7 linked regions of the Mus musculus genome follow. The protein of the gene in region 7 purifies or fractionates together with the protein of the main gene of each other region. This does not show direct contact. Links are inferred from orthologs where the notes say so. Each region holds a gene or a part of one and is shown on either strand. Other genes may lie near its edges.

Evidence for each region.
Region 1: the proteins of Mms19 (region 7) and Prim1 purify together in Homo sapiens (affinity purification with western blotting; 3 studies listed by BioGRID and IntAct, with this or other methods). This does not show direct contact. The link is inferred for Mus musculus from reciprocal best matches to the Homo sapiens genes MMS19 and PRIM1.
Region 2: the proteins of Mms19 (region 7) and Ciao2b purify together in Homo sapiens (affinity purification with western blotting; 11 studies listed by BioGRID and IntAct, counting the BioPlex papers as one, with this or other methods). This does not show direct contact. The link is inferred for Mus musculus from reciprocal best matches to the Homo sapiens genes MMS19 and CIAO2B.
Region 3: the proteins of Mms19 (region 7) and Brip1 purify together in Homo sapiens (affinity purification with western blotting; 3 studies listed by BioGRID and IntAct, with this or other methods). This does not show direct contact. The link is inferred for Mus musculus from reciprocal best matches to the Homo sapiens genes MMS19 and BRIP1.
Region 4: the proteins of Mms19 (region 7) and Rtel1 purify together in Homo sapiens (affinity purification with western blotting; 4 studies listed by BioGRID and IntAct, with this or other methods). This does not show direct contact. The link is inferred for Mus musculus from reciprocal best matches to the Homo sapiens genes MMS19 and RTEL1.
Region 5: the proteins of Mms19 (region 7) and Prim2 purify together in Homo sapiens (affinity purification with western blotting; 5 studies listed by BioGRID and IntAct, with this or other methods). This does not show direct contact. The link is inferred for Mus musculus from reciprocal best matches to the Homo sapiens genes MMS19 and PRIM2.
Region 6: the proteins of Mms19 (region 7) and Cdkal1 purify together in Homo sapiens (affinity purification with mass spectrometry; 4 studies listed by BioGRID and IntAct, counting the BioPlex papers as one, with this or other methods). This does not show direct contact. The link is inferred for Mus musculus from reciprocal best matches to the Homo sapiens genes MMS19 and CDKAL1.

The regions. Positions count from the first base shown.
Region 1 is NC_000076.6:128,021,715-128,025,214, forward strand, and holds part of Prim1 (DNA primase small subunit), read left to right. Parts: coding exon 1-17; intron 18-1,148; coding exon 1,149-1,258; intron 1,259-1,868; coding exon 1,869-1,960; intron 1,961-2,066; coding exon 2,067-2,205; intron 2,206-3,500. UniProt on the Homo sapiens protein: Catalytic subunit of the DNA primase complex and component of the DNA polymerase alpha complex (also known as the alpha DNA polymerase-primase complex - primosome/replisome) which play an essential role in the initiation of DNA synthesis.
Region 2 is NC_000074.6:104,639,339-104,643,090, forward strand, and holds Ciao2b (cytosolic iron-sulfur assembly component 2B), read right to left. Parts: upstream 2,391-3,752; 5' UTR 2,353-2,390; coding exon 2,211-2,352; intron 2,053-2,210; coding exon 1,973-2,052; intron 1,756-1,972; coding exon 1,630-1,755; intron 1,228-1,629; coding exon 1,182-1,227; intron 749-1,181; coding exon 651-748; 3' UTR 501-650; downstream 1-500.
Region 3 is NC_000077.6:86,142,194-86,145,693, reverse strand, and holds part of Brip1 (Fanconi anemia group J protein homolog), read left to right. Parts: intron 1-2,282; coding exon 2,283-2,437; intron 2,438-3,500. UniProt on the Homo sapiens protein: DNA-dependent ATPase and 5'-3' DNA helicase required for the maintenance of chromosomal stability. Acts late in the Fanconi anemia pathway, after FANCD2 ubiquitination.
Region 4 is NC_000068.7:181,353,920-181,357,116, forward strand, and holds the end of Rtel1 (regulator of telomere elongation helicase 1), read left to right. Parts: intron 1-57; coding exon 58-256; intron 257-433; coding exon 434-523; intron 524-1,089; coding exon 1,090-1,206; intron 1,207-1,390; coding exon 1,391-1,633; intron 1,634-1,731; coding exon 1,732-1,893; intron 1,894-1,978; coding exon of another isoform or gene 1,979-2,004; coding exon 2,005-2,171; 3' UTR 2,172-2,238; coding exon of another isoform or gene 2,239-2,339; 3' UTR 2,340-2,438; coding exon of another isoform or gene 2,439-2,519; 3' UTR 2,520-2,697; downstream 2,698-3,197. UniProt on the Homo sapiens protein: A probable ATP-dependent DNA helicase implicated in telomere-length regulation, DNA repair and the maintenance of genomic stability. Acts as an anti-recombinase to counteract toxic recombination and limit crossover during meiosis.
Region 5 is NC_000067.6:33,481,295-33,484,794, reverse strand, and holds part of Prim2 (DNA primase large subunit), read left to right. Parts: coding exon 1-113; intron 114-2,180; exon of another isoform or gene 2,181-2,706; intron 2,707-3,383; exon of another isoform or gene 3,384-3,393; intron 3,394-3,500. UniProt on the Homo sapiens protein: Regulatory subunit of the DNA primase complex and component of the DNA polymerase alpha complex (also known as the alpha DNA polymerase-primase complex) which play an essential role in the initiation of DNA synthesis.
Region 6 is NC_000079.6:29,324,801-29,327,673, forward strand, and holds the end of Cdkal1 (threonylcarbamoyladenosine tRNA methylthiotransferase), read right to left. Parts: intron 1,429-2,873; coding exon 1,237-1,428; 3' UTR 501-1,236; downstream 1-500. UniProt on the Homo sapiens protein: Catalyzes the methylthiolation of N6-threonylcarbamoyladenosine (t(6)A), leading to the formation of 2-methylthio-N6-threonylcarbamoyladenosine (ms(2)t(6)A) at position 37 in tRNAs that read codons beginning with adenine.
Region 7 is NC_000085.6:41,978,337-41,982,518, forward strand, and holds the start of Mms19 (MMS19 nucleotide excision repair protein homolog), read right to left. Parts: upstream 2,801-4,182; 5' UTR 2,778-2,800; coding exon 2,663-2,777; intron 1-2,662. Other genes in the region: Ubtd1 (ubiquitin domain-containing protein 1), read left to right, coding at 3,603-3,672. UniProt on the Homo sapiens protein: Key component of the cytosolic iron-sulfur protein assembly (CIA) complex, a multiprotein complex that mediates the incorporation of iron-sulfur cluster into apoproteins specifically involved in DNA metabolism and genomic integrity.

The sequences.
Region 1 (3,500 bases), on a different chromosome or scaffold from region 7:
GTTCACCCTTTTGTCAGGTCTGTTGGGAAAGACCCCCTGAGGGCCTCTGATTTGCCACTTGTGCTTGTAGACATGCTTCTTGCTGCCAGTTTTCACCACCAAGTAGTGTTTCCAGTAACAGTTGCAGCTGATAGCCCCCGACTTTGGCCCTGTTCCAGTCTCTACTGTCATGCTCAGTAACCTTCAGGACTTCAAGAGAAACATGACAGTACTTCCACTTAAAGACAAGAGAAGTGGGTTTTAGAGAATTGTATGGTTCACTTGACATCACACAAGCAATTGTCAGCATCTAGCACACAGGTCCTGGTCTACTCAGTTCTAGCATCTGTGCTGTTTCCCACCCCGGTTTCACCCTGTGACCTCCATAAATGATGGAGGCACCTCCTATGTGAGTGATGTGGGGACCGTTTGTGCTCCACCTGACTCCAAGGTGGTAGCAAAAACAAATGACACAGGCATTTGCAAACTGCAGACTCAGGGAAGTGGGGACAGTTCAAGACAGGATTTCTCTGCACAGCCCTGGCTGTCCTGGAACCCTACCTGGATTTCTACCACTTTGCATGACCTGTGATGTTAGTAACATTATAGATTACAGGATTTAAGAAGTAATCATTTAGGCCAGGCATGGTGTGGCACACGCCTTTATTTAATCCCAATACCAGGGAAGCAGAGGCAGGCAGATCTCTACAGAGGTCAGCCTGATCTACGTAGTGAGTCACAAGCCATCCAGACTTGCACAGTGAGACCCTGTCTCAAAATAAAATAACTTTAAGAACCAAACATTTTAGCCAGGCGTGGTGGCACATGCCTTTAATCCCAGCACTCCGGAGGTAGAGGCAGGCGGATCTCTGAGTTTGAGGCCAGCCTGGTCTACAAAGTGAGTTCCAGGACAGCCAGGGCTACACAGAGAAACCCTGTCTCATAAAACATTAAAAAAAAAAAAGAACCAAACATTTCCCAAATACTTATGACAGGTACATGCTAGGCTATTTCCATTTTAAGTGTCTAGTTTTAACTCAACTAACAAAAGGGTCTCATTCCATTTATCTAGTTCTAGAAAGTCAGAAAAAAATAGTGACCTCACCTAGTAGGAGAGTGCCTGTGTACCCTGTGTCTTGCTAATGCTGTTGTTACTGTCATTCCTACAGAAAATCTATAAACATAATTAAAAAGTACTTTGAGGAATATGCCTTAGTCGGCCAAGATATTCTTGAAAATAAAGAAAACTGGGATAAGATTTTAGCCCTTGTTCCTGAGAATATCCTTTCCTGCGGTTACTATGTAAGCCAGTTGTGTCGGTCTGTGACATAGATGTGTGCGTTTACATAGTCTCTGGGACATTATACATGTGTGTGTTTACATAGTCTCTGGGACATTATAGATGTGTGCATTTACCTTGTCACTGTGTCATTATTCATGTGTACTGTCTGCATAGTCTCTGTGTCATTATTCATGTGTACTGTCTGCATAGTCTCTGTGACATTATACATGTGTGCTGTCTGCATAGTCTCTGTGACATTATACATGTCTACATTTTTGTATCACTGGGCTACAGTAAGAAATGGGGCCATTCTGTAGAACAGTTTCATCATCTTACAAGTTGTTCCTAGAATTAGTGGTTAAGAATGGGGAATCATTTCATCTAGATATGATGGCTTAAGTACTTTCTAATTACGTTAGCATTTCTGCCAGATCACTACTATAGTTGCACAGGGAAACTTTTAATGCTGTAAGTGCTGAGCACGTGTGTCTCAGGGATCATTAATAGTTTCTGAATGTGTGAAGCGTCAACCTTCTTGTAATAATATGTACTAAAGACTTACTCATTGAGGTATCCCAAGTGACCATGCTCCTTAATGAAGCATCACCAATTCATGATGAGCTGCAAAGAGGGTTCCAGAAGTTCCACAGTTCACCTCAGCGCTGGGAACACCTGAGGAAAGTGGCCAACTCATCTCAGGTATCCACCCCTGGGCCCCGTGTTTACCAACACAGCTCCTGACCGAGTTATGACCGTCTGTGTTCCCTCTGATCCTCATGGCGGTCTCTCTCACATCTGCTTTTAGAATATGAAGAACGATAAGTGCGGCCCCTGGCTGGAGTGGGAGGTCATGCTCCAGTACTGTTTCCCACGCCTGGATGTCAACGTCAGCAAGGGAGTCAATCACTTACTGAAGAGCCCTTTCAGTGTTCATCCCAAGACAGGTACAGTGCAAACAAAGTCAGGAAAACTGAAGGAAAAACACCTGTCTTGTCTTGTCTCTCAGTGTAGCTGGCGTGGGACTCAATGTGCAGATCAAGCCTCACTCAGAGATCTGCCCGTCTCTGCCCCCAAGTGCTGGAATTAAAGGCGAGTGCCACCCCGACTGGATCAGTATGTGTTAGCAAGGATGTCATTGGTTGTGAATACATGTCTATGAGGTGAAATGTTGAAGAGTCGACCTGTTGGCTACTGTCTACCTTGACAATGTTCCCCTTGTCAGTTAAGGAGCTCCCGGGAGAACTGCTACCAGATAAAGGTTTTGGGGTTAGGGATGGAGCTCAGTTTGCAGAGTGTTTGCCTGGCATAGCCAAAGCCCTGGGCTCCATCCCCAGCAATCATAAAACTGTGTGTGATGGCACAGGCCTACAATCCCGCTAATTAGGAGGAGGAAATGGGAGGATCTGTAATGCAATGTGGAGCTTGAGGCCAGCCTCAGCTATCTGGGAATCTTGTCTCAAAAAAAGGAAAAAAGAAGAAAGAAAGAAAGAAAGAAAGAAAGAAAGAAAGAAAGAAAGAAAGAAAGAAAGAAAACTGAAGCCTGGATCCGAGATTTTACACATTTGTGATCACAGCACTCAGAAGGTAGAGAAGCAAGAGAGTTAGAAACCTGGGAGATGACAGGAAGGTCAGAGTCATCCCCGGCTACACAGCAAGTTCCAAGCCAGCCTGGATTCTATGGTGGGACCCACTTCAAAAGGAATCATTGTATCCTCAGCTCCTAGATACGCATTTTTTTTTTTTTTTTTTTTTTGGTTTTTCGAGACAAGGTTTCTCTGTATAGCCCTGGCTGTCCTGGAACTCACTCTGTAGACCAGGCTGGCCTCGAACTCAGAAATCCGCCTGCCTCTGCCTCCCCAGTGCTGGGACTAAAGGCGTGCGCCACCACGCCCGGCTTCTAGATACGCATTTTCTGTATCGCCTCAGAGGTAGATTTATAAGATCATGCTACCTACCAACTTAACATTACCTTTAGCAAAATATCATTTATTTATTACCAAGCAGATATCACAGTATATTTTTATATAAAATAAGCTGCTTGTTGTTGGATATCATTGTCTGTGCAGTCCATCATTTGACCAAAAATATCCCTATGGCCACATGACTGTATTTTCAAAATATTTTGTGGGACTGCTGAGATGGCTCAGTGGATGAAGGATCTTACACGCGTTCTCGCAACCGGCCAGGAAGAACACAACAAACCGGAATCTTCTGCGGCAAAAGCTTTATTGCTTACATC
Region 2 (3,752 bases), on a different chromosome or scaffold from region 7:
TCTGAAACATTGGAAAGGCTAAACAAATTTTTAAAAATTATTATTATTTTTTGAGACAGGGTCTCCCTATAACTGCCTTGGCTGTCCTGGAACTCTCTATGTAGACCAAGCTGTTGTCAAAATCATAGATGTGCTTGCCTCAGTCTCCTGAGTGCTGGGACTAAAAAGTTTGTACCACTATATACAGCTTGCTGATTTACTTTATATGTATGAGTATTTGCCTATACATGTGTGTATCACATGTGTTCCTGGTGCCTTTGGAGGCAAGAAGAGAATGTAAGATCCTCTGGAACTGAAGTTACAGATGGTTGTAACTTGGGCGCTGGGAACCTAACCCAGATCTTAAGAGCAGTAAGTGTTTTTAACTGTTGAGCCATTTTTCCAGCCCCACTGGGAGTTATCAGAAGCAATGAGGGCACCTCATGGACCCACCCTTCATAGGTCCCCACCCCACTCTACTACAACCGAAAATGAGTCCACTATGAGAGACGCTAAGGCATACTGGGAAATGAATATAAATTAAGGGTTTATTACAAAATAAAAAGTGTTAAGTTTCTCCTTGTCAGTGATTCAAGAAAACAAAGCCATGAGCCCTTGGTGGAGCTGAGGCCAGGACAACCTGAGTGCAGGCTGGGGGTCCAAAGCCAGGCTCACGAGCGGGCGGATAAACACTGATTAACAACCTCAAGCAGGTGTGTATTCTCCAGGGCAGCTGCCACTCGCTCCTTATCTGCAAGTTGTTTGTTCACTGGGTAGGAAAAGAAGGGTGGAAAAACAGGATTAAAGCAAACTTGGGCCAGGTTGCTAGCCTCAGTATACATTATATTTCTACCAATAAAGTTCTTTTCTGATAGTCTCAGGACTCCAAGCCTGGATCAGGCTATATGCATCACCTGTACCCATAACTAGCTTCATCATTTGGAATGCCCGTCACCACCAGGGACTGCTTATGTCTGCCTCCCTCCAGTGTTTCCTGAAGCCCGACCCAATGTCCCTGTGTACTTGAGGACCACAGGAGGGTGGGTCATGGGAAGCAGGAGATTTCAGTCAGGCCAGCTTTGGTCTAAGCTGTAGTATGGCCATTTTATTCACTTAGTCCCCTGGTCCTAATCTTGCCCCCACAGATGACTGTGGCAAAGGGGAAGCCTCACCTAGTTTGGGGCCCAGCAGTCCACACTAACCTGCATGCTCGGAGGCGTGGGTCCCGGGTGTAATGTGTACATCCATCTGCAGGAAAGACAATGTGGGCCCGAGCATTTACCCGCCTGTCCTTTTCTTTTGGACACTACCTCCCAACCATCTGAACTCCCAGTCACCCCTCTTGATTCTGGCTCTTCCAAGCCACCCCAAACCCACCTGCAGTCAGTCAATCCACTTTTACCCTAGGACCTAGTCAGCGACTATTGACTTTAAAAGCCTTCCAGTGCCTCGATCGATCACGCCCATTCACAGCTCCCAGCTGCCCTTTCCACCACACTCCTATTTTCTGGAGTTTTTTCCCCCCAATATTCTTGTCACATCAACTTGGGGGTTCAACTCTGCGAGTTCGGATCCTTCCGATCTCCGCCCGATGTCCCCTCGCCCGCCCCAGTAGTTTGTTTCACCCTCGGGGGCTTGACTCCAACTGACCTTGAACCGCTGGGGAAGGGATCGCAGCAGCTTGACTTTGATGGAGAGGCCAATAAGCGTGGCCATGCTGCAGTGTGGGATGGTGGGTGTGAAGGCCACTGCTACTGTGCTCTCTGGGTCGCTAACCTGCGATGACAAGGGAGATCAGATCGCAGTGATCGCACGGCGGCCCCTAGCCCAAAGACACTCTTTAGTTTATCGATTTGGGCAAGTCACCCAACTTTTTATCGGCTCCATAAACATTAACACACCTCCCACAGATCCTCTTGGGGGCTTGTGAACGGAGAACACCAGCCTCTGAGGTACAACGGTACCTTTTTGATTACTCGAGTAAACTACTCACCTGAATCCGAACTTGCTCTACTACGTTCAATTCCTCCAGTGTCAGTGGATGCTCCGGGTCATTAATGGAGCGGATAAGATGTGCCAAGTGAAGGAAAAGGGACTCTAAGTTTTGGCCCACTCAAAATCTCCGCAGGCAACGCCTAACCGGGACACCCCTCCACCAGCGGGCTGCGCATCACTTCTTGCCGACACCCCAAGCCCCCACCGTCCCGCCAGCGCCCTGCAGCGACGGATATCGAAGATCTCCCGGGCGTCGATGCTGTCCGGCACTTCCTCATCTTCCTCGCCCGCCGTCACTGGCCGCTCCCCGGAACGCTCATAGATGAGGGGGTTAGCGTTCTCTAAGAGCCCGCCGCCGCTACCGCCGCCGCCCACCATCCCGGAACCGCGGTTCCCACAATCCCCCGGTGGTGTGTACTTCCGCTCCTTCCGCGCACTTCCTGGGAACGAGGAGAGGGCGTGGTGTGGCTACGGGGTCGTGCAAGGGACACGCCACACTCCAGGGATTCGGCGAGTAGTTTGCTAGAAGCGGTGTATTTGTCGTGCGGGCTACTCCGAAAGCGGGAAAAATGTTGGTAGCTCTCGCCGGGGCGTCCCTTCGGTTCTTAGCCGTGGGATCCTGTTGGGAGCTGGATCGCAGGAAGCCAACACCGTCTGACAAGGGCACTAAAGGCTCCTTGTGATTGGGCCTTGGGACGCTCCAGCTCGCTGTCACGCTATCGTAGAACCGTAGATCTAATGACACGCTGGTTTCCTCTAGTAGGAATCGGCAGCACTAGTTACATGCTTGTTAAGTAGATACGCGATCCTAAACTCTCACCTCAGAGCATCCTAATGTAGACCGTGGTGACCTCTAGGCCACTTGAATCTGATCTGCCCTGAGAAGGCAGCACTTAATTTATCCTATAACCCCTCCCTACCAGACTGTCTCCTTTGCTGTCAGCCAGGCTATGGAGGCCACGAATGCCTTAGCAGGCAGAAATATCATTCTTGGCATGGGTGATGTCATGTCCAGCTTGTCTAAAGAATGGGAAATTGCACATATAATTCCCACAGTCTTTTTCGTAACTCAGGAGAGGCAGGGTTGGTGGAAGACAGACTTGTGCCATTGGGACCAGCACACGTGGCCCATGGCTGACTGCTCGCAGGACTGAATGATGGCAGCAGGTCCAGAGGTCCCTCAGTGAGCCTGGATGGATAAGCTGGGGTCTTGTAGTGGGTAAAAACAGTGTTTGAAAACAAAGAGTACTTTGACAAGGCTGACCTAAAGGTCACAAGGAGGTAGCAACACCCACAGTGCGGCGCCCGCTGATAGAACAGACTCAACTTTGATGCCATCTGTACATTTCCAGTCCCATCATGACCAGTCACATGGGGAAATCTCTTTCATTTGAGTGGTATTGATGTGGGTGTCCACGCCTTCCTGCTAGTTCCCTTCGCCAAGCTGCCTCTAGGGATGCTGTGGTTTATACCCCTGGGCCACCTAAACTGTGTAAAGGATGGGACCTCTGATCCAGCAATGTAAGTTCTCCTGGGGCCAAGGGGACTTAAGGGACCTCTGAGCTCTGGGTCAGGCTGCAGCAGTTTTTCCATCTCAACCCCACTGGGATTTCCAGCACTGTCGGGAAGATTCTCACATTCATTAAAATTTTAACTACATTTGAGAAGAGGGCACATGCCACAATGTGTTAAGTGGAGGTCAGAGGACAAGTTTCAGGAGGGGTTCTCTCTTCTAGTGTATGGTTTCCAGGGATAGAACGCAGGTCATCTTCAGTCAT
Region 3 (3,500 bases), on a different chromosome or scaffold from region 7:
GCTCTCCATAGGTTTGTGACTATCAGGCCGAAATGCCCCAAACACCTCCACAGGTAGAGGATGTGAGGTCACTTAGCCTCAAGACAGATCTCCATTTTAATGAGGTACCTAAAGGCCTAGAGGCTTAACCAGTAAACTTCTCTTCCCAGACACTCTTCTCTGCAAAAGGTGTTTGTTTAACCTTGGGCCCACCCTGAGAACGTGGGGTACAATTTTACTCATCGCCACTGTCCTCCGTGACAATAAATAGAGTCATAGAATATACTTCTTATAGTTCATGAATCAGCATTAGTGTGTTATTGTCACCCAAAGGCCATGGTTTTTCTGACAGCTTAGTCCCCATGTTGTTTAGTTCAACTAGGATTTGCCTAGTCACCCACCATTAAGGCATCATACAGAATAGATTTGCTGTCCTAAAACATCCTCTATATTGTACTTCTTCATTCCTCCTGTACCCTTTGACACTCCTGAAACCCAGACAAGCACTCATCTCCTTGCTGACTCTATGGCTTTGTCTTTTCTAGAATGCCTTGTGATTGGAATCATACTATATATAAATCTTCCCTGTAGCAATATGTAGTTAAGTTTCTTGCATGTAGGGTGTGCGTGTGCACAAGTGTGAATCTGCGTCTGCATCTGTGTCTGAAATTGGTGTTGGATAAACGATTGGTGCCCTCCTCCTTGGAAGACTATTCTCATTTTCCACAGTTCTTTGTGTAGGATTGAGGCCTTCTGCCCTGTCCTTCTACATTAGCATGCCTATTATCCTTGTTCAGTTCTTGTTTAGGCCTTCATGTTGGTGAGACTTTATGGGTATGGCCTAGCACACAAAATCTCACAGCAAATTTTTGTTTCTCCAGTTTTATAGTCTTTCCACATACCCATTGTCTTCTACAGTGATCCCTGACTTAGGTGCAAGAGTTACCTTGTAGATGTATCCTTTGGGATTGGGCTCCATAACTCTGCCTTTTGATTCATTGTGGTTTTCTGTGATGGTCTCTGACTGTTGCAAAGAGAAGTTTTCTTGGTGTGAGGTAAGGTCTACATTTAATGGGCTAAACCTAGAAGAGGGATTTCAAGGAGGATTCTTTTTTTGTTATTTAAGATTTATTTATGTATGTATATATGTATATATGTATGTGTGTATGTGTGTGTGTGTGTGTGTGTGTGTGTACCCATGGAGGCAAGAAGAAGGCTTCGGATCCCCCTGAAACGAGTTACAGACAGTTGTGAGCTGCCACATGAGTGCTGGAAACTAAACCTGGGTTCTCCTCCAGCCTTGTTTCTTTTCTTTTCTTTTTTCTTAAGACTTAATAGTATTGTATATGTTTTTGTTTTCAGTTTTGTAGATAAGGTCTTATGTATTATAGTCTGGCCTTGAACTTGCTAGATACCCCGATTAACCTAAACTTTCATCACTAACCATATCCTTACTTTTCCTCATGGAAAGATTTGTATGTTGAGGAATTCTTGGGTCACTAATAGCAGTCTATGCTTAACTCTTCAATGCCTCTGGTCTTAGTTTTATTTCCTTTTTTATTGTTTCTCTAAACTATTTAAATTTTACTTATCAGGTCTGGGTGTGGCTCATTAGAGTCCCTGCCTAGTAGTAGTCTTTTTGTTGTTAGTCAGTTTTGTTTTTGAGAAAGTTTTTCTGTGTAGTCTTGGCTATAAACCAGGCTGGCTTCGAATTCATAGAAATCCACCTGCCTCTGTCTCCTGGGTGCTGGGATGAAAGGCTCTCAATACCATGCCCTGCTCTTACTACTGTTCTTGAAGACCTGGGTTCATCTACCAAAATAATAGCAAGAAAAATGAATATTAGTAAAATATGTTTATCATATGATAGCCTCATTACCAGACTTACTTCCTATATATAATTCAGGCATTTAGGGAAAAAAAAACTTTATTCAAATCCATTGGTACTTTTAAATTTTAGTTCATTGCTTCTGAAAGGTACTAAAGAGCATGCTAGTTGCCTGAAGAAGTTATTCTCCTAAATGTCTTTATTAAAGTGTCTGGCTCAGAGGAATATTTGTTAACATGGAAATCCAAACTCCATTGCTGGGCTTGGGTAGGTCAGTTACAGAAAAGCAGAAAGCCCTGGAGTTCCATCCTAACTACTGTGATAGGTAAAGAGGCAAGACCAGAAATGCAAAGCGATTTGAGTTTTTGCGTTCATGAATACCTGCTTCATTTTGGTTTGTATTAATACTTTGCAAAGGATTTTCCTTCTGTCAACCCTCTACCCACTTAATGAATGATACGGTAATTTCTTACAGAGGCATCTCTCAGCTGTTCTTCAAAAAGAAGAGAAAGTCACACCAATCCATGGTAAAGAGGAGGCAATACAAATCCCTATTATCAGTGCATCAACTCAAGTCGTGCTCAAAGGACTCTTTATGGTGCTTGACTATCTCTTTAGAGAAAATAGCAGGTAAGCCTGTTTTGTTGGGATGTTGTTGATGTTGTTGTTGTTGTTGTTGTTGTGTTTTTAGCCTTTGGTCAGTGTCTTAGTCAGGGTTTCTATTCCTGGACAAAACATCATGACCAAGAACCAAGTCGGGGAGGAAAGGGTTTATTCGGCTTACACTTCCACATTGCTGTTCATCACTAAAGGAAGTCAGAACTGGAACTCAAGCAGGTCAGGAAGCAGGAGCTGATGTAGAGGCCATGGAGGGATGTTCCTTACTGGCTTGCTTCCCCTGGCTTGCTCAGCCTGCTCTCTTATAGAACCAAGACTACCAGCCCAGAGCTGGTACCACTGACAAGGGGACCTCCCCCCTAGATCACTAATTGAGAAAAATGCCTTACAGCTGGATCTCATGGAGGCATTTCCCCAACTGAAGCTCCTTTCTCTGTGATAACTCCAGCCTGTGTCAAGTTGACACAAAACTAGCCAGTACAGTCAGTAAGATGTCTCAGCAGGCAAAGGTGTTTTTTTTTTTTTTAATATAAGATGGCAACCAGAGTTCCATCCCCAGAGCTACATAAAAGTGGAAGGAGAGAACAAGTTCCACAGGCTGTCTTCTGACCGCCACGTGCATACTGTAGTACACGTGCACACATGCATACTGTAGTACACGTGCACACAGTAATAAATGAAAAAAATTTTGTTATGGTTTTAGAGCTTTATTGTAGAAAGGCAGAGATGAAGAGAGAAGGTAAAAAGAGGGAGAGAGAGGCTGGCCATGGCCATGTGGAGGGAGTGGGGAAGGGAGAGAGAGAAGGAGGGCTAGAGATGAGAGTAAGAAAGGTGAGAGCTTATAGAGAACATAAATGAATTTTTTAAAAATTAGCTAGATGAGTGTTGTTTTTAACTTAGTAGGGAAATCTTAAATGTTACAGATATATATCTGTAACATATATATATGTATGTATGTATGTATAGATTGTTATTGACAGAGACGTGGATCAATTGAAATGTGTCTTTTTCTCATTAATGAAAATAAATATTGAAATCAGTTAGTAAGTGCACTTAATTAGCTTGTAGTCCTCCA
Region 4 (3,197 bases), on a different chromosome or scaffold from region 7:
TCCAAGGAAGGAGGAAAGGGCTGGCTCTGATAGGGCTCTTGATCATATTTCTTCCAGGAGGAACCAATGGCTGGCACACAGGCAGGCAGAGCCAAGATGTTCATGGTGGCTGTGAAGCAAGCACTGAGCCAAGCTAACTTTGACACCTTTACCCAGGCCCTGCAGCACTATAAGAGTTCTGATGACTTTGAAGCCCTAGTGGCCTCTCTCACCTGTCTCTTTGCTGAAGACCCCAAGAAACACACCCTGCTTAAAGGTGCCCTGGTTTTCAAAATTCTGCTATCAGGTTAACACTACAGCAGTGGAGGTGGGGCTTCTTATAGGGCCCAGGGTTGACTCTGATTCTCAGAGAAAAGGCCTAGTAGGTAGGCCATGGTCCACAGAGTCTGGTCCATCAGTCACAGTATATGGCTCAGACAACTACTTCCCACAGGTTTCTACCAGTTTGTTCGACCCCACCACAAGCAGCAGTTTGAGGACATCTGCTTCCAGCTAACAGGCCAACGATGTGGCTACCAGCCAGGTAACAACTTTCCTTTTGGAGAGCAAGCACAGTCAACTGTGGACTTTACCAGTGAGCAAGGTCCCAGGCTAGACGCTTAACCTCAGACTTGAAGGGCAGTTTACACTGGAAATGGGCTTAGTAGGCATCCCTGGGCTCTTGCTTAGCTACTTTAACCAATATTCTCCCAGATTCTGTCTGCAAAGGGTAGCACTTTTTGTTGAACTTTTAGGCATCCAAGAGACCTCCCCTAGGGAATTCATGCTAGAGGCTTGGCACCTGTCCTACTTCTCTCCTGCCTGAGCAGCTGAGCTGGCCCCTCTACTGCTGCAGTGCTTTATGGAGGGCAGGTGTGGGAGAGGGGATTTATTTATCCACAGAGCAGTACTTGTTCCAGTGCTTGATGCACGCAGGCATGGCAGAGGGAAAACTTACCCTTTGGGCTCAGTACTCATTGAGGTGTAGGTACGTATGCCCCTGAGCAGGACTCATTGGGCCCTCTTAAGACAGTCAGGTGGGTCTGATGTCAGGGTCCCCTTTCCTGTGTGAGGATTATAAGGCCTAATCTTAGGAGCATGTCTCTTCAGGAAAGAGAGAGCTGGAGTCTAAACTGACCTTGTCTGAAGGTGTAGACAGGCAGCTGGATCCTGGACAGCACCTGAACCAGGGGCAGCCTCACCTGTCTGCCCATCCAACCTCCAAAGGTACCTGGCTCCTAATAACCCCCAGTGGACTTAAAAATCCTTGAAGAGGCAGGCTGGACTGCTTGGTTCTTAAATCTATTTGTCCTGAGCAGCTAGCAGACTCTACAGAGATTCCTGGAAAGAAGTGGTGGTGGGGAACGTCCCAAGCCATTTGACACCCACTACACACCTCTCACCCTTCCAGCTCATTTTTCCAAACCAGGACACACCAGCCATTGTACAAAAGTGGGATGTGCAGTAGAAAAACCTGGCCAGCCTGCTGTGAGTGACTACCTATCTGATGTCCACAAGGCTCTGGGATCTGCAAGCTGCAACCAGCTTACGGCAGCTCTGAGGGCATACAAACAGGATGATGACCTGGACAAGGTGGTGGCTGTGGTGGCAGCACTGACCACTGCAAAACCTGAACACTTACCCTTGCTACAGAGTATGTAATCCTTGGGTGTAGGGCATAGGTTCTGGGAAGGGTGGTGAAGGCTGTCTGTGAGAAGTATGTGCAGAGCTTGAGCAGAAGTTTCCCCACAGGATTTGGCATGTTTGTGCGTCGGCATCATAAGCCTCAGTTCCTACAGACCTGTGCAGACCTAATGGGCCTGCCTACCACAGGCAAGGACTTGGAGCTCGAAGGTCCCAGAGATGAGAGCCCAACTGTGCCTCCTGAGCTTACCCATGAGGACCTGAAACCAGGTGAGGGCCCACTGGAAGACTCCTACCCTTGCCCTGTTTGTTACCCTGAGTCCACTGCACCGGGGGCTAACAGGAAGCCCATAAGTTTCTCGCACTCGTTGCTATCTTTAGGGCCCTCGATGTCCAAGAAACCTGAGAAGACCCAGAGTAAGATCTCATCCTTCTTTAGACAGAGGCCAGATGAGAGTGTGAGGTCTGATGATACCACCCCAAAGCCCATGCAACTTCCTCCTAGACTACCCCATGAGCTTATGAAGCCTCATCGGAGTAAGCAATAGGGGCTACAGTGAATGTTGGTTATGGTAGGGCACTGAACAGTGTGCTCACTTAGACCTCCTGCAACAGAATTTGTATGCCCGGCCTGTGCAACTGAGGATACAGTGCTTTTCCAGTGCCCCTCCTGTGACTTCTACCGCTGTTGGGCCTGTTGGAAACTTCAACTCCAGGTTGGGGTCTAACCCTCTCCAGCCCATCAGGCATCTCTCCAGGTGGTGGGGGCTAAGGGAGCAATGCCAAGCTTCAGTGCCTAGCAGGTATCTCCACAGGCCTCTAGACTGTGTCCGGCTTGTGGTGCTGTTAACAGGAAGCAGAGCATTACACAGGTCATCTGGCCGAAGCCCCAGTGAAGACAGATGGAGCCCTTTGCTTGCCCTGATGTGGTTAAACCCACTGCAGGTCTCATGCTTGGCTGTCCAATGAGATCTGAATCTACTTGTGAAGTTCTGAAACCTCAAATAGCCTATATTGGCATTGCACATGTACCACTGAAGGTGTAGGCTGTCCAATAAAACTAAGTTATCAGGATGGTGTCTGTATTGTGGTCTTAAACTGTGTGTCATGGCAGTGCCAAGTGTGGCACACTATCAATCCCTGCAAAAACAGGATCTCCTGTAGTTCCAGGGCAGCCAAAGCTACAGAAAGACACCTTTTTTAAAAAATATGTGGGAGGATAAAGGTCTGTTAAGATCTTTTCCAGACTTGCAGCATTCTCCATACCAGTTAGCTTTAAGCCAATAAGGAGCTTCCCTCCATCCATCCCCTGTATTGCCCCTTTCATCAGCTAGACACCATTGTGTCCCCACACCAACTATGCACAATTCTGTAGCTTAACCCTCTAGAACACAGCTCCTACTGCAGTGTCAGCTCATCCACAGGGAGCATGAGCATACCACACCACCCACAATCGCTTGTTGCTGCTGCCTAGGCTACTTAACACACGTAGGCTTCTGCCTAGAATGTATGCTTTGCTCACCTTGTGCTTGCATGTGGTGAGACTACGGGAGCTTGGGATTGTAGGGGGATCT
Region 5 (3,500 bases), on a different chromosome or scaffold from region 7:
CTCTTACAATATCCGGCATAGCTTCGGAAAGGAAGGCAAGAGGACAGACTATACGCCTTTCAGTTGCATGAAGATTATCCTGACCAACCCACCAGGCCAAGGGGATTATCATGGTAAGTGCTTGTGATGGATGCTGGTGAGTGCTGTTTGCATTAGTGAAGGACCTAGCTTGTCTGTGTCTAGTTGGAGCCCCATTACTCTGACAGTAGTTTGTCTTATTGCTGAGCTCACTCAGCTTGTGCTTGGCTTCTGCTGGAGTAGGTTTCCTTTCCTCCTCTGTTCTTGTCTTGTGTTCTGCAAGGAGCTTGGGATAGAGGTGTTTTAAAGCTGTGAGAGGTGTGGAAGCCCTAGTTTCACAATAACACATTTTGTTGATGTTCAAAAGGCCTTGTGCTGAGGCACAGTGTATTGTTTGTCTTACTACTGTCATCTGAGTAACAGATTAAGTAAGCAGTTTAACAAAGCCCCGGTGTCAAGGGTGTATGCCAGTTTGCCTAAGTTGTGTACACACACACACACACACACACACACACACACACGTTTTTCAGTTCAAAAACGTATTTTCTAAAATAATTCAACCAGCACATCTTTAAAAGCTTCCCATTTTGTCTGGTATGTCAGGGAATGATTAATAGTTTATATTAGTAACCTTTCTAGATTGCCAAAGCTTGCTGTAACCAGATGTCAGTATTTTGTTTTGTTTTAGAATCTTAAATGAAACCACCATGAAAAGAACATACCGTTAAGCTGTTAAAAATTGGGCAATCATAAACAATATTTTTAGAATTTCCCTCCCCTCCCCTCCCCTCCCCTCCCCTCCCCTCCGTTTCTGTTTGCTTGATAGGTGAATCAAGTTGCTATAAATAGATGTGGCATGGTATGTGGTCTGTTTTCGAGTGGGTTCCATGACTGCTGCTTGTAATATTTGTCCTGTTTCTCTGGATGGCATATTTTATAGATATGTTATGTGCATTTGAGTATAATGCAGTTTAATCTGAAGCTTCATTGTTGGTTTTTGGGCTAGGTGATCTATTTAGAGATGAAAGTGGGGGAATCAGAATTATTTTATTATGGCCTATATGTCCTTTTGTGTTTATCAATGTTTGTTTTAAGAAATTGGGAGCCTCAACATTTGGTGCACATATATTCACAGCTGTATCTTGTTAATATGCGGTGACTTCATCTCTTTTGACTACTTCTGGCCTTGAAACCAGAGGAGCAGAGTTAGCTGGTTTTCCATTTCTGTTTGCTTGATAGATGTTTTCCATCATGGGCGTCACCATATGTATACTAGTAAGAGGTGCATCTCGGAGGCATCAGGCAGGAAACCAGTTCTTAATTTCTATAGTGTTTTGAATCTGTAGCTCTTAAAACTGCTTAGGACTTGTGTCTGTCCGCTGACTCCAACACCTGTTCTTGCAAGCTGCCCTTCATTCTCTAGCATATGAATCACAGTGTTCTAAGCCTGGTCTCTTCATCAGCAACCCTGCTATTTTACGTCTACTGCCTGCTTGGCATCTTCACATTGAGCCTCTCCAGTGCTTTGCAGGTTTTCTCTCCTTGAAATAGGCTTGAGATGCTCTTCCCCAAGAATGTCAGGTTGCAGGAGACTGGGCAAGGACTCTGTTCAGATGGCGTTCTCTGGGGAACAGAATGTTCTAATGGAACTACTTTTCCTGTCCCTCTATAGAAGCCTGGTTTACGTATCCATTTATATTATCTATATGGTAAACACTGTGAGATGATAGATTTTCTGGATGTAAAACTCAGAGAAGTATTAAGCTGTCCTAATGTCATCTCTTGAGCTACTCTGAGATGTGTTTATGCTGAAACTTCAATCACAGATCAGCCAGTTGGCTCTGCCCAGGGCACTGGCTGTGATGGAGTTCTGCTCAGGAGTTTCATCTTCTGTCAGTTGCGAATCTCTGCACTTACCTCAAATAGACCTTGAGACCCTGTTTCTTTGTTACTGATTTTTTTTTTCAGGGAAATAGGGTATTTTTTCTTTATTTAGGATAGAGAAGTGACATCTGACCTCAGTATATGCTCAGTCAGAAACTGGACATGTGTCCTCTTTTGTTTTCTTATTAATAAAATTATCAGCCACCTACATTGCTTCGACTTCATCACCTAATGCTGCTTAGAATAGTTGAAGAACCAGTTATGAATCTATGTAAGTCTAACTGTATTCTGGCCTATCGTCTCTTACAGCTGTATCATTCTGCACTTTTGTTTGTTTGTTTGAGTTCCTTCTTTTTATTAACTCATGCACAACTACTTGTTTTCTGGTTTGTTGAAACAGTAAGTCAGACAACACTTGCCACAGTAATGCCTGTCAAAGTGGCTTCTTATGAAAACTCCAGCACCACATTCATCAGAAGGACACTCTCGACGAAGTAGGCAAATTTTGCCATTTTCATCCACCTTATAGTATTTCAGCACATCCAACTTAACCTTCTTCCTCTTATGCTTGTTCTTCTTGGGAGTGGTGTAAGACTTCTTCCTTCTCTTAGCACCACCACGAAGTCTCAACACCAGATGAAGGGTGGACTCCTTTTGAATGTTGTACTCGGACAAAGTCCGGCCATCTTCCAGCGGAGGTCAGCCTCTGCTGATCAGGAGGAATGTCCTGGGTCTTGGCCTTTACATTTTCTTTAGTGTCCGAGGGTTCAACCTCTAGCGTGATGGTCTTCCCAAAGATCTGCACTGTAGATCACCACCTATGCCATCTCCACCCACGAAGCATCAGAAAGATCACTCTACTCTTTTAACACTGTTGTTAGCTGTGGGTGTGTTCACCTGTCTTTTATTATCTTGTTTGTTCAGCCCGAAGATCATTCTCTTTGAAGTGAAGAGTAGGAACAGGGAATGTTATCTGTAAAAGTGACACCAGCCTGGCTAAGTACTGGCTTACTTCCTCTGAGTTCTGAGTGAGCATATTGGGAAAAGAACCTTCCTTGAGTTTCCTTCAGTTTCCTCCTGGCGTTGTCTTTCAGGACTCTTGCGTGGGTCAGTTCACCTTGTCAAGTATAATTTGGGTGACACTGTTCAGTCTCTCTCTCTCTCTCTCTCTCTCTCTCTCTCTAATACACCTTAATTCTTCTTTAATTATTGTAAATTAATTATTATTAATTAATGGAAACAACCAATAATTACCATTGCTTCTTTCTCATTGGGTTTTTTTTTCTATATTTCAAACCCAGATGCTGCAAAAATAGGCTCTTTTTAAAAATCCAGTAAGATATTTGTATTCTTTGAGAATTTCATACATGTATTCCCACTCTTTGATCATATTCATCCTCACCACTCCCCTAACTCCTCCCAGACCCACCCCTCCTCACCTCACCACTTCATCTCTCTGGTTTTTAATTTAAATAACTTACTGTGTTCCATTTGTATCCAGTCAGCCTTGTGGAATGCCAGAGTCTTTACTATGTATCATATGTTTTCTCAAAATGTTTCCTGTACTAAAGTGTATTTGTTTAAATCTGAATAAAGGA
Region 6 (2,873 bases), on a different chromosome or scaffold from region 7:
TAAAAAACCACATGCAGACTTGCTTGGCCTCAAAGGAAAAGCCGTAGAACTACACTGAATGGGGGGAGGCAAGGTGGAGAGGCCACTGAAAGCCACGCCTGCTTTAGCCACACTCAGACCTGTCCCTGAGAGCTGTGTTTCCACACCCTCTCAATGGCTCAAATGTAGACTGGGACAGTCTTCTCTCCTCCCTTCCTCTAGCAGGAGGTAAAAGGAATGAACAAGCTAGATTTCCAGCCATTGCTATCCCCTGTGCAAGCTAGTCACCAATGTTACGTTAGTAATGAGTGTCCACATGTGAGTGTTTGCATATGCACATTTCCCCCAACTAATGACACTATATTTTGGGATGGAGATTTTAGGGGACAGATGTAACGAAGTGCTGACAGAGGGTATGGGTCTAGAGATGAAAATATTCCTTAGGTATTTAAAGGCATTTACTTGGTTTTCCTTCACCTACCCAATCCAAATAACTCATTTAAAGTCCAATAAACACAGTGTTTTCTTATTGTACCAATTCTGTTTATTGTGAAAGAAGTCATTTCATTTAGTAAAGACGGCTGGTGGTGTTGGGTCAAAATGATAAATGTAACATGCCTGGTCGGTGTGTCAGGAAAGGATCATGGTTTGTTTGAAAGTTTGTGGGTGCCACAGGCATGGAATCTTCACATTTTCTAGAACGCCAGGAAGAGTCCTTTAAGTGGTGGACTTGGGTCCAAGTTCTCAAAATAGGTTTCTATATAAACTTTTTAGGAACACATCTGCTGTGAAAAAGATGTTTGTAGCACGGGGACTCCAAACACAGCCGGGAGAATGTTTATTAAGGGCTGGATGTTCTTCCACACAAGGAAAGGATGGCCAGAGCCACGAATAGGCAGAGCCTCTGTGCACTTAGGCTGGGATTCAATGACTGGAGACAAAAAAAAAAAAAAACAAAACAAAAAACAAAAAAAAAACAAAACAAAACAAAAAAAACCAAAAACCAACCAAAAAACCCAACCACTTGTATTTGTTGTTAGGAAGAAGTCTGAAGGAGTTTGATGAGAAAGACATGTTCAGAAGCTGTGATCTGGTCTGAGGTCAGATGGCTCAGCTCAGTGTGAGGGCATTCAGAAGAGATCCAGACAAGGCAGTGTGTCTAGTTCAGAAGGCAGTCTCTTGAAAACTGGTGTTGATGTCCTCTTGTTTGTTGACCACTTGAATTAGAAACTTATTCCTTATGGAGGCTTTACTTAGTTACATTGTAAGCAAAGAGTCTGGCCAGAAATGCAAAAGGAGAGCGAGGAGAGCCAGGCCTGTAGCCACCTTCAGTGCGCAGTCATACTGGGACATCTGCAGCACCATTCTGGAATACGCAGAGCCATGCTGAGTTGCAGGACAGGTGTCTGAAGTTCCGTTTGGATGATTCCCAAGCCTATTTCTGAATTCCTATAAAGACAGAAAAGAAAAACAATGTTCAGGAAAAAAAAAATTCCTGCAGCTGTATCAGCCATAGCTCCTTTCACTATAGAAACATCTGGATGCCTGCAGGGTCTAGGTAACCCCATGGTTGGAATGGACAAGTCTGTTTCTTTTTTCCATGATTAGAACACAGTCATGTTTTTTGTTTTGTTTTTAGACTCCATGGGAGACATTTTGTTCATCAAACACACTCTTGAAGGCAGATAATACAAGATGCTCTGCCGTAGGAAGGCTGAGCCCACCTCCAGGGAGGCCTAACAGGGGTCTGAGTGACCAGAGGGCCCCAGTCCAGTGTTCCCTCCGTTTGCCTTGGTGTGCCAGACAGGGAAGCCTGGAGAACACGGCTGGAGGAGAGTGCAGGTGAGTGAGCACCACGGCCTGCTCTCGAGGAGGCATCCACTGAGCAAGGCTTCTAGTCTGCCTGAGCTGAAGGGGGGCATGCTACTCCCACGGCAGCTTTAGTATTTCAAAGCACCTGCTGGCTCCGTTAGATAAGATGGTTCACATTATACAGCTCCTGTCAAAACAATGCCCCCATACGGCATGACCATCCCTGCTAGAGCCAACAGGATGTGGAGATGGGACGATCAGAGGCCATGAAGGAGAGGCTCAGCAGAGGCAGCGTGGCACAGTTGTCCTTGAGGCCATAGGATTCTCTTGTGCCTCCCTGAGCACTCTGACAATCCTGAACACCTCTGTTTCCTGTGTGGAAGCGGCTGCTATCCTGCTGCTGACTGGTCTGAATAAGAGCTCAGGCCCTACACTGCTGCTGTGAAGGCAGAGCTGTCTTCAATGGTGGTCTTTATTTTGTATTATTTTAATTAATAATAAAGAGTCTCATTACAGGAGCAGAAAGAGTGCAGTGAATACCCTGGGCCGAAAGCTGCCTAGATCAGGCCTGGCTGAAATGGCAGTGTCCCCATTCCTGCTCCCCTGGCCTGCTCTATGTTCAAACTCACTAAGCTCAGTCAAACGGCAGAGACCACACTATACTATGGTGCTCCGTGAGAACCAAAACCCACATAACAAACCGGCACCCAGAGATACCGTTAGGAGAGAGCTGCTGACTGAGAAGATGCTCAGCCAACACTCACAGTCACCTAATCTACAGGATGAGCACATTTAAATGCAGAAACACAAGGTAGCATGGCTTCTCCAAACAAGGACTAGATGCCAGGGAAACTGAAATGGAAGAAAGGCGTGCCAGACAAACACCATGGACTAAGAAGTGCCCTGGGGCCTGGTATAAGACGAGTAGAAAGATCAGAGAGGACAGAAATGAAACTCCCAGGGAGACAGTGCGAAAGGAAAGTCTGGGGAGCTAGTCTGACCTCCAGGACCCACAGGGGAGAAGGGGAGAAAGGCACTTCTAAGTTCTCTGTCTCCCACACGTGTGGCGTGGCACACCCACA
Region 7 (4,182 bases):
GGGTTATATATAATCCGGCTCCATCAACCCATTCAACCTTACTGGCTACTATTCCTTTGTACCAACCTTCCTTTTGTTAAGAGGAATAAATTACAATAGGGTTCACTTACACAGGTACTACAGAGTAGATTTTAAACCATACATGCACTGGCTAGTTTTGTGTCAACCTGACACAAGCTAGAGTCATCACTGAGGAAGGAGCATCCGTTGAGGAAATGCCTCCATGAGATCCAGCTGTAAAGCATTTTCTCAATTAGTGATCAATGAGGGAGGACCCATCCCATTCTGGGTGGTACCATCCCTGAGCTAGTGGTCCTGGCTCCCGTAAGAAAGCAGGCTGAGCAAGCCACAGGGAACAAACCAGTAAGCAGCACCCTCCATGGCCTCTGCATCAGCTCTTGCTTCCAGGTTTGAGTTCCTGTCCTGAATTCCTCCAATGATTGACTGTGATCTCCGAGTACAAGCCAAATAAACCCTTTCCTCCCCAACTTGCTTTCTGGTCATGGAGTTTAGTCATAGCAATAGAAACACTAAAACAAGATGATAGTTCAGGCTCCCTTTTTTGACATAACAAAAAAAGGTATTTTATGAAAAAATAAGAAGGCAGTTATTTAAGCTGTCTTTTAAAGATGTGTTATGCATCCATAAAATCCAAAATTATTATTCCCAGAGTGCACAAATGTGGAAGAACAATTACAGATAACATTAATATAGTAACATCTATCTTGGTATGGGGGTGGGTTTAAGTATATCTAAGCTTCTGTGAAAACAACGGTCCTGATATATAGTTCACCGGATCTAAAGTTTACCCCCCAAACAAACCAAAAGCAAACACTAGTCAATGAGGAGCTCGATAAAGAAGTTAGAGATTAATGTATTGATCTCTGCAGTTTAAATGGGTAGGTTTGTGACAATTCAAATTAAAGAAAAAAATGTTAGTGATAGGCTCTAAGTAGTGAGTCTATGATCTTTAAAAAAAAATTTAAGTTGGGCAGGGGTAGTGCATGCCCGTCATCCCAGCATTTGGGAGGGGGATTTAGATCTTTGAGTCCAAGACCAGCCTGGTCTACAGAGTTTCAGGATAGCCAGGGCAACACAGAGAGAGCCTGTCTCAAAAGACAATACACAAACAGATAAATAACTAAAAATTAAAATTCTTTAGATTTTGTTAAATGCTGTGAAATCTCCATAGTAAAATCTGGGGGGAAATGGCATTGATAATAACCCATAACAGACTATACTTGATTAAGTTGTAAAATGTTATAAGCTTAAGTGCAAGTACCAGGGGCTTTATTTTCTTTCTGAGATTGGGGCTCACACTGTAGCTGAGGCTGGCCTAGAACTCACTAGCAAACTTGCCACCCCCCTGCCAAATCCTGGAACTAAAGGAATGCACTACCAAGCCCAGCCAATAGCAGGCATTTTTGCCCCTTGATGCTCTGGAACCATATATTTACCTCTTACAACACAGTTCTTTCTCTCACTAATTATAATAGTTTGATGGCCATAGATAGTATCTTATTTGTATTTCTGTCCTCAATTCTTTTCATGCTGGGTAAAAAATACGTGCTCAGAAATAATAGAATGGCAGAGAATGTGGACTATTGCTAAGGACCAACATATATTTCTAGCAGTTCATTTCTCACATATTCTAAAAATTAATCTGTTCAATTTGCTAAAGAAACTTCTTCACCCATAAACTTCCAAACATAATTTTTAAAAACCCGCATCTATATCCATTTTTTATTCTATTTCTTAAACCCGACACTGAAGGCCTAACATTCAACATTCAGAAAGAATTCTAAAGAGGCACCCTGGATTTGTTCAAATCCTGGATAAACTCGGAACTGAGAGATTCCTGAAATTGGAACTCTGGGAAGAAGGATAAAAAAATGGGACATTAAAAAGTTATAAATCTAATTTATCAAAAAGCCTATTTGGGGCTGGAGAGATAGCTCAACAATTAAGAGGACAGACTGCTCTTGAAGAGGTCCTGAGTTTAATTCCCAGCAACCATATGATGGCTCACAATCATCTATAATGGGATCCGATGTCCTCTCCTGGTGTGTCTGACAGCGTACTCACATACTATATATATATATATATTCTTTTTTTTAAAGCCTACTAAGACACATAAGTGAATCTTTAAAGACACTAGTCATCTACACGCCCACCGACCTAGAGCCAGACTGGCTCCTCCCCTCCTCCATCCAATTACAACCACTCAAACAGCTGGAGCGCACGCTACTTCCAGGAAGGCAAGAGGCCGGAGCGTAACCCTTGGAACCCAGACCTTCTCACCTAACACTCCGCAAACAACGCGGTCCTGCGGTGCAAGCACCAGGTTTGGACCAGAACACCCGAGTCCAAGTCCCAGCTCCACTTCCGGACTCGTCTGTGCCTTGCACAAGTCTATTACTCTCGGAGAAATGTAATGATTCTCTATGGACCACAGCGAGATGCGGAATGTAAAGAAAGCTTTAAGGAAGATGCAAGCGACTCTCCAACTTGTTAGGGCAGTAGCGCTCCCAGCGGGGGCAGAGCGGCCAGAGGACCAATCACAATCACCTCTCCCTTCACTCCCTTCCCGCCGCGCGCGGGTGCTGAGGCCGCTCCCTGCGGTCCGGCCCCTGCAGAAGCCTCGCGGCGTTGTTTGCCATACCTGCAGCCACCTGGTCAGCGGGCCCCTCCTGTTGACCCATGACGAAGTCTTGCACGAGGCCACACAGGGCGCCCATAGGCGCCACTGCCTCCTCCAGACCGGTGGCGGCAGCCATGACGCTAGCCAGAGATTGTGGGAGGGGGAAGTGGGTGTGGCTACGAGATGTGTCTCTCCGCGCACGCGCCTCCATGGCCAATAGTTGGGCGCAGACTTCAGGGGCGGGGCACCTCCAGGTCACGTGCCTGCCGGCTCTGGGCCAGGCAGTCCCTTCAGGGACCTAACGGCCCCTCCCCAGAGGGCGGGGCCTGGGCCGGGGCGCGGCTCCGGGAGGGGAAGTGACTGCCGGGCACGCAGCCGGGGCGGTTGAGGGCGCATAATTCCCGGCCGCTCTCCCCGGGAGACGGGCGACAGGGCGGGCACCTGGCTGGGTGGGGCCGAGGGGCGGTACGCATCCTGGGAAAAGCCAATGAGAAAACCAGACCCGGCCCGAGGGGCGGTGCCGTCGGTCACATGCGCACCTGGGGCGGCTGGCGACCGTGGCGCGGCCACCCCAAGCGGGAGGAAGGGAGCGGGGCCGGGCCGGGGCGGGGTTAGGCAGGTGAGTGACAGGCTCCGGGGGGCCGGCCCCAGCTGGGAGCTCGGAGTGATCCTGGAGTAGCTGCGGCGGTGTCCGCCCCCTCCCTCCGCCCCTCCAGCCGGGCTGGTCTCTGGCCGGGCACTGTCGCGGGCCCCCCTGGCCTGGCCACCTCCCTCTCCGCTGGCCCGCAAAGTTTGTGGCGAAGCCGGCGTCGGGCAGAGCGCTCCCCAGGGGAGATCCAGGAGCTCTCGATGTCGGGCTGCGGGAGTCGTTGACCCGGGGACGCCGCGGTTCGGGGCAGCAGCGTGGAGCAGCCGGCCGACCGCCGCCTCTGGTGCATGGGGGACCGGCTGAGAAGCCAGCATGGGCAACTGCGTGGGGAGACAGCGCCGGGAGAGGCCGGCTGCTCCGGGACACCCCCGCAAGCGAGCAGGTAACGCCAGGAAAGGCAGCGGGGTCCCGGCGCGCTGCCAGTTGGCCCTTGCCTTGCCCGAACCTTGGGGTTCCCGAGCGACCTCGCTCGGCGCCGGGCGCTTGGGTTCCCCCACGGCTTCTCGGAGCCAGACGGGGCCCTCCCCGGCGCGGGCTGTCTGGGAAGCGAGTTGGGGTAACTGCGAGCGCTGACCCGGCCGGGAGGCCAACTCGCTCCCACCGGGAAGCTGGGGATGGGGGCGGGGGCAGGAAATGTTTCCAGACCGCGACGAGGCTGGCGGAGGGGGCCAAGCGAGTGCGCCGCGGATCTGGCAGCCCCGGCCAGGGTCGGCCGGCGGCCGGCCGGGGCGCGGCGTGGGCAGCCTGCGTCCCCAGAAGTCGGAGCGATCGAGGCGAACACAGTCGCTCATTCCAGCGAGTCACTGTGTCATTATCGGGCTGCAGGTCGTTGTCTGCGGGAATCCGACTTGTAAAAAGCAGTGCAGGACCATGGAAAATAGAAATCTTTATT